Danio rerio: one gene and its partner. The protein of the gene in region 1 interacts with the protein of each later gene in a pairwise test. Links are inferred from orthologs where the notes say so. Each region holds a gene or a part of one and is shown on either strand. Other genes may lie near its edges.

Region 1 (4,077 bases):
AATATAATAAGCTATAATATTAAGGATAATAAGCTTTTTGAGAATAATAATAATCACAGATGGCTGCCAAGCAAATGTTGACTAAACCCTGCTGACCTATTATACAATTGGAATCGTTACTACAAGACAGCGGCTGTTAAGAACTTTGTATATAAATATGAAACATTTATTTAGTGATTACATGCAGGCTCTTATAGTATATCTGATATGTTCTTACCTGTGTTTTTCCAGCTCATTGTGTGATGACCTTAAAAGAAAGTAAACAGATTTAATTTTAGCGGTAAAAATAGATAAAATATATGTAAGTATATATACTTTAAAAAGTGCACTGACTCTATAAATTATATATATATATATATATATATATATATAATACTAATGAAATGGTGATAAAGTGAACCGATCTGGCATAATAGTGATCTTCCTAAGTACTGCAAAACTGCTGCATTTGCTTTTAGCATTACATATGCAATCTTGTTATTAAACTAGGCGTTATACACAGTTAATATACAAAAGCATCCTTATTGTCATGCAAAATATAAATAATCTAAAAAAAAAAAAGATCACTACACAAATACAATAGGACTGTAATAAATGCATAAAAGAACGAAAGAATGATTTTGATGCTCCCTGGCCCCTACTCACATACACGCACACACTACATTCTATCTAGATTTAAGCTAAATCATTCCCCATATCTTTACTGTGTCTATTAAGCCAATATCACAGTAAGTAAAGCTCTATCAGCATGCATCCAATGACGCAGAGGAAATTCAGCACGCTACAACGCATTGCTATTTTAGTCCAGAGTATGAATGCTAGGGTGTATGATCGGGCAATTACATTTTCTCCAAACAAACAAACCAACAAAGACATTGAGGGATTGCAGTGAAAGCAAGATAAAAGCAAAATATGTAGGTCATAGCATCAGTTGATAATTGTGTCAAAACTGCAGTGTACAGTTTCGGCTCCATCAAGGCCATAATATGGATTTTTCCCCCACATTTTCCTTATATGCTTTTTTGAGTATTAAATAAATGCAAATGACATGCATGTGATAGCAAAGCAAGACAAAGTTGTAAGTCAAAATGTCATTTGTGATAACAGTGCGACTAAAGCTCAATTTTAGCATCTGCAGCTAGTGTAGAAAATATGTTGCTGCTTGGAATAAAAGCTTTGAAATTAAAGTACACGTCTGCAATGCCAGATGTTTTATTTGTTTGTTTATTTGTTAGCTTCAATATGGGAATTTGGGTTTAATAAGAAGCACGTTATTGAGTGTATGTTTTTATTTTATTAAAACAAATTTAAGTCATGAATTTCTTAGACAGCCCTAGATCCGTAGATTTCCCCTTTTTTTCAGTGCTTTCTATGCATATTGTGGGGGAAGGGCTGCACACTGGGCTCCTGCTGTTTTGCTTTGACATTGCAAGGAAAAGGGGGCTAATGCAGCAAAACAGATCCAGGGGTCAAAGCTCTGTAGCAGCTGACTTGGGTCTGCTCACACCACACCCAGCAGTGAGAGTTTAACCACACCTAAACTAACCACACTACTATAAGCATACTGTCTATGACATAAGCATGTGACACAATTTTGAGTTCAGATGTAATGATTGGTCAAAACATTGTTGCAACTCATTGTTTGTTTTTTGATGTGTAAAAAAACATCACTGACACATATTTGAAAATATTCATGCTTACATAACACAATGTAAAGTACAGTAAATAGCTATACGCTTCTAGTTACTTCATGCACGTACGATAACTAATTTGTGCAGTCGTCCTCGGTCACCAAAAAGTTTGTGCTAAATTAAACGACCGGTGTTACAACAAGACAAATGATTGAGTTGAAGACAAATGATTGAGTTGAAGGCAAATGTCAGCAGTGGAAAAGGGAAAGCAGCAGCGGCCGAAAGTTGACGCTGTACGCGTGGCAATGTTTATACACAGCCAAGCCCAACAACAAAAATGGCGAATACATGTAACGTTAGAATACACTGTTGTAATATGTCCATCCATTATAATAGCAATGTCACTGCATTGTATTTACCTGTTGTTGTGGGGTTTTCTTGAAATGGGTGATTTAGTTTTCTTTCTGGAAAAGTCACTATCGTACGGCAAAACAGATGCGTAACCGTGTTCAGCTTCTAGTGAGAAAGTCAACGTAAATAGCATTGAATACAGACGTATGGGCTTTAATGAACAAAAATCAGAGTTATAAAGTTGGACAATTTATATATTTTATGGCAACCCGCTTCACAGTTGACGAATCATGATTTCAACTTAACTTACTGTAAAGCAAACACCCCCACCCCCTGGTTACATTTGACCTAATATTGAAAACGAAACAACATTTTAACAGTGCTAGAAATAATGACATGCTGGTAAGTCAAATCTTTCCAATTATTTAACAGACTTAGAATCCCACGACAACGAGATCATATCTTCCCTCAGGGCTTCAATGAAGATACACTTGATCTACAGACAGGTTTATAAGTGTCAGTCGACCGGTAAATCAACGAAATATCACAAAGAATAGTTTTAGTTCAGCAGATATAATCATGATACCTCTGTCTCTTCTTTCCAAATACTCTGCTGCCTCAAGAAGTAGGAGAAGAGAATTAAGTTCCATCCTGGTGTATTTGCAGAAATAAAATTACACACAACAAAAACGAATGCACACTTTAACAAAAGGTATAAATCAAAGAGAGAAACAAAATAAAAACAAACAAACAAATAAACAAAAAAGTGATGACGCTCGATATGAACGGTTCAATTCTGAGTCGTACAGACTCTCAACAAAAATTAATGCAGACTGCACGTAAACTAAAATCTGGTAATTGATTGATGGTTTCTGTGTCCAATAAGACGACAGAAAAGTATGAAAGGCGGGCCTTAAAAACATTTGTATCCAATCAACGACTTCAAAGAGAGAAATTCACAGGAAAGATGTTGACACATTGCGAAATGTCATATGATTGGCTAGTCAGTGATAGTAACAATGTTGAAGCCATGCCCTAGCAACAGTACGTGCGACCCAACCCCCATATCGCTCATTGGTCTGACGTATCATCCACGTACCCATGATTGGCTGAAAGAAACACAGGGCGTGTTTTCATATAACCCCGTTTAGTAAACTTATGCTGGCAGTGGCAAAGTTGTCTCTGGAAGAACTCAGCGGATAGAAAATGTTTTTCAAAGTCAAGTTTCTGATCGTTCACTAAGGTACATTCACATTAAAATACGAGCGCAAATCACTGATTCGAGTTATAAAAGTAAGGTCATACTGGACACATATTTATTATTAAATGAAACCGTCAAAGTTTGCTTATACTTACATAATTACGTGTAGGGCGCGGTCGGCTCTCGGGTCATCTTTATGTAAGTTACTACAAGTGGCTACTTTCCAAAGCAAGACTTCTTTTCTGATCCTGTAGCTATAGATTGCTGTGTGTGTATTTATTATGTATTATTTAAAAGGTAACAAACTAGTAATTTATTATTGATTTGCCAAAAAAAGTATAGAATAGATAAAAGTATTTGCATGGCAGTAAATAAATATTTCTTATTTTTTTATTTTTCTCTGAAGAACTTGCTAAAAAAATGTTTCAGTGTGTGTTTGTTTGTGCAGTTTACTCAAATATCATTTGTGATTACATACTCACACTCTAGTTGTGATTACAAGGACATTTGCAAAAAAAATCTATAAAAATAAATAATAGTTTACACATATTAATAGTATTTATACATATATCAAGCGGGTAAAACGTGTATTGGACATGTCATGATTTTTCCTGGTAGATATATAGGCTTATAGGTGCTGTTGACATAAAATGGCCCAGATGTTGATAAAACACAAACAAATAAATAAACCAAGAGAAAAGAAAAAAATATTATGTGTAATAACAATGTAGTGGCACAAGAAGAAGACATTGAACTACTGAAATATATTTAGTGACAGCTTTGAGGCTATATAAAGTCTATTTCTATAAAGTCTGATCTTTAGTTCTTATTTTCAACTGGATTCAGGTCAGGTAATTGGCTGAGCCATTCTAGCAGCTTTATTTTCATTTGTGA
Region 2 (4,248 bases), on another chromosome or scaffold:
CCCTAACATGTGTGCATATGTATAGAGTGTTTCATGTGTCCATATATCTATAGAATGTATCGCGTGTGTGTGTGTGTATGTGTGTGTGTGTGTGTGTGTGTGTGTGTGTGTGTGTCATGTGTGTATATGTATTGAGTGTATCATGTGTGTTTATGTAAGAAGCGTATTATGAGTGCATATGTATGGAGTATATAATGTGTGCATATATGTATAGAATATTTCATGTGTGTATGGAGTGTATCAGGTCCAGGTATTATATCAACTCCTAGTAGCTCCGAGACCTGGGTTCTATCCCAGACCCTGACATGAGTGTTATGTGTGTGTATATGTAAGGAGTGTATCATAAGTGTGTATATGTATGGAATGTACCATCTGTGTATATGTATAGAGTGCATATGTATAGAACGTATCATTTGTGCGAATGTATGGACTGTGTATATGTACATAGTGTATCATCTCTGTATGGAATGTGTCATGTGTGCATATGTATAGAGTGTGTTGTGTGTGTATGTATAGAATGTGTCATGTGTGTATATCTAAATAGAATGTATCATGTGTGCTTATGTATGAAGTGTACCAGGTCCTTTCGTCGTATGGGTTCATCAACTCTCAATCTTAACACATATATATACACAGTACAGTATATATACAGTTGATGTCTGAATTTATTTTTTTCATATTTCCCAAATTATATTTAACAGAGCAAGGAAATTTTTACAGTATGTCTGATAATATTTCAGCTAGAAAAGCAGTTTTTAATTAAAAAAAAATATTAATAATTTTAAGTTTAAAATTATTAGCCCTTTTATGCCATATATTATAGTCTACAGAACAAACCATCATCATAAAATAACATGCCTAATTACCCTAACCTGGCTAGTTAACCTAATTAACCTAGCTAGGTCTTTAAATGTCACTGTATAGAAGTGTCTTGAAAAACATCTAGTAAAATATTATTTACTGTCATCATATCAAAGATAAAATAAAGTTACATACCGTTATTATGAGTTATATTCAGGGGGTCTCATAATTCTAACTTCAACTATAGATAGATAGATAGATAGATAGATAGATAGATAGATAGATAGATAGATAGATAGATAGATAGATAGATAGATAGATAGATAGATAGATAGATAGATAGATAGATAGATAGATAGATAGATAGATGTGTGCGTGCGTGCGTGCGTGCGTGTCATTTACAATGAGTGATGTTTAACTCTAATTTTAACTCTTATAGCACCACCACGTGGAATAAATGACCACATACTGCTAAGAGATGCATAGATAAATTATAGTCTGATGCATATATGGACTGTATTAATACGTTAACGTGATGTGTAAAGAAAACGTGAATGAACGAATCAACACTAATGAGTTAACCGAAAGGCACCAAAATGTGTCAAACGCTGTGGGAGGATAAGTTTGTAGACAGATTATGGCCACTAGGAGGCGCAGCTTGTAACATCCCGTCATTGTTTATTCCAAAATGACGGAAAACAGCGCGTCGCCGGAGGATCCCTGGCTAAAAGTAAGCAAAACTAGTCACATAAAAAACATATTTTGGTTTTATACAACCCTTTCCTTCAGAATCACCCTCGTGATGCGTGTGTCTTTTAATCGCTGGTCCGTAGGGTTTGGTTTCACTCTCTAGCTCAGCTGGCTAACCTTAAAGTTCAGCAAGTCAAAGAACAATTATCCTCCTTCCCACATGACCCTAATCTGTCTTTCCAGAGCTGATATTGAAAACAAATCACTGCCGAAACAAAAACATTTATTATTCTGAAGGTTTATTTGAATAACAGTCTGTTTAAGCTATGTTGTTGATAGTATTAAGGAAGCTATGTAACAGATGTGCAAGAGTTGAAACCGCTAAGCTAACTTGCTTGTTGGCTACATTGACTATATCTGGATGTGTTTCAAAACGTATGTAACTGCCTATCTAGGCTGACAGTTTATTTGGCGCAGACAATTCGTTCGAACTACCGAACCGACTCCCTTGAAGGACTCGATTCTACCAGGTTCTTTCTTTTGTTTGTTTGACCCTTTGTTTGATTTCTTTATTGTCCCTTTTTTAACGTTATTCTCTTCATACGCACTAAATAAAGTACACCCTCATTTCCACACGCTAATGGCACTGTGACAATATGGCAGTGATTGCTCAATCTGAAAGTTTTGAGACACAATATGTATGTAGATGAAATATCAGCTTTTAAAGGGATTTATTTGGGACACATCACAGTAGGGAGTTAGATGTGTCCTAGATAAAGGTGTAAGGCAGGACAGGTCACTCAGCCTGTGTTTGGGTTGGTTATCAACATCAGTGTGTCTTGTTTTGACTGTTTTTTCTGTTTGTCTTTCTCCACCTCCTGTCACCATGTCTCAGCAGACGGATGGCACCTTCAGTGACAACGGCTTTGACCACAGTAAGTAGATCAATAAGTCTCAACTGTCAGTCGATACCAAGATGAAAAAAATGACTTTAATAACGAAAATCAGAAAGGTTATTATAGCAAGCTGTCTTTAATATTTCTAGAAATATATCTAATGTCATGCTACCTGTACTTTTTGATACTAGTATCATTTTAAGTACTATTACTTATTGATACATGCATTTCTACTTAAACATAGAAGAAAACCTCTCTCATAGAGAGAAACATAGTTTAGTGCACTGTCCTGCTCCTAACGTTTGTGTAATACTTTATTTTTAAATTAAGTGAACTATTTAGCAGTTTTGACGCAAAACAATTTAGCGCTTTTGTCATTTATTAATGATTTATTAATGATTAAAAAGTCTGTCGATAACTTGTGTTTGTTTGAATATTTCTTTTATTCTGAATTTTTTTTGCCATAAAGATAGCCAGTAAATCTGACATAGCATTAAATAAAAGATGTGAAAAGATACGACATTAGTACTCATTAATTTGTACTTTTTAATAGATAGAAGTACTTTTCATTAGATACTACCTATTAAAGCATCTGTTTATAGGTACCAGTATGTAACGATAAAGCACTAGAGTCTAAATAATAGAAACTAGTGTCAAATAATCTTCAATCAGTGTATAAAATATGTCACATTTGGAATACATAGTTGCCAAAACTAGATGTACATACTAGTGAAAATAGATCCCTATATACAAAAATGGAAACTATGTTAAATTAGAATAACAGCCCCCCTCTTTATTTTCCCCCAATTTCTGTTTAACAGAGAGATTTTCTCAACACATATCTAAGCATAATAGTTTTAATAACTAATTTCTAATAACTGATTTCTTTTATCTTTGCCATGATGACAGTAAATAATATTTGACTAGATATTTTTCAAGACACTTCTATACAGCTTAAAGTGACATTTAAAGGCTTAACTAGGTTAATTAGGTTAACTAGGCAGGTTAGGGTAATTAGGCAAGTTATTGTATAACGATGGTTTGTTCTGTAGACTATCCAAAAAAAAATTGGCTTAAAGGGGCTCATAATTTTGACACTAAAATGGCTTTTAAAAATTAAAAACTGCTTTCATTCTAGCCGAAATAAAATGGATAAGACTTTTTTCAGACGAAAAAATATTATCAGACATAATATTTTTTGCTCTTTTAAACATCATTTGGGAAATTTTTAGAAAAGAAAGTGATGCACTAGGGTAACAAGGTTATTAGTTCTATAATAGTTACTTAAAGCTAATATATTAATTACAAACATGCACGTATGAAAACTAATTCTATCATTCTATTTTTTTTTTATCTATAAAACTAACACTAGTATTAAAAACTGTTTGCTTTGTTCTGTGCAATATTGGACTTACCAAACACATGACAATTTTATTGAAATATTTACATTTTCCTTGACCTCCATATCTCTAGGTTTTTTTGCAGAGAGCGCACGTAAAGGAAGTTTGGTGTCTAGAGCCAACAGTATCGGATCCACAAGTGCCTCTTCAGTACCAAACACAGGTGATGATACTGCTATTTATTCAGTGTCAAACATAGCCGTTTGTTGTGTATATCAAACTCTTTACTCTGAATTTCCCATTGTTTCCTGTTCAGAATCACAAGGTTATTCATCAGTCACCTTTCACTGTGAATGATTCATCCATGCATGCATTTTATTCATTCCCTTTTCCTTCTTTTTATTATCGTCTTAACTGGATTTTCCTTTGGTGATTTTGCATGACAGACTTCATGTATATTTAAATACGTTTTAAACAGCTGACTTGTTATAATCTTTTTTGATAATCCACTTGAGTAACAG

The links. The genes of interacting proteins can lie anywhere in the genome.
Region 2: the proteins of mxd4 (region 1) and mlx interact in a two-hybrid assay, tested with the Homo sapiens proteins (2 studies listed by BioGRID). The link is inferred for Danio rerio from reciprocal best matches to the Homo sapiens genes MXD4 and MLX.

What each region holds. Positions count from the first base shown.
Region 1 is NC_133176.1:27,718,058-27,722,134, reverse strand, and holds the start of mxd4 (max dimerization protein 4), read right to left. Parts: upstream 2,801-4,077; 5' UTR 2,633-2,800; coding exon 2,569-2,632; intron 2,148-2,568; coding exon 2,051-2,147; intron 248-2,050; coding exon 218-247; intron 1-217. UniProt on the Homo sapiens protein: Transcriptional repressor. Binds with MAX to form a sequence-specific DNA-binding protein complex which recognizes the core sequence 5'-CAC[GA]TG-3'.
Region 2 is NC_133178.1:36,012,822-36,017,069, reverse strand, and holds the start of mlx (max-like protein X), read left to right. Parts: upstream 1-1,448; 5' UTR 1,449-1,489; coding exon 1,490-1,531; intron 1,532-2,386; coding exon 2,387-2,426; intron 2,427-3,860; coding exon 3,861-3,950; intron 3,951-4,248. UniProt on the Homo sapiens protein: Transcription regulator. Forms a sequence-specific DNA-binding protein complex with MAD1, MAD4, MNT, WBSCR14 and MLXIP which recognizes the core sequence 5'-CACGTG-3'. The TCFL4-MAD1, TCFL4-MAD4, TCFL4-WBSCR14 complexes are transcriptional repressors.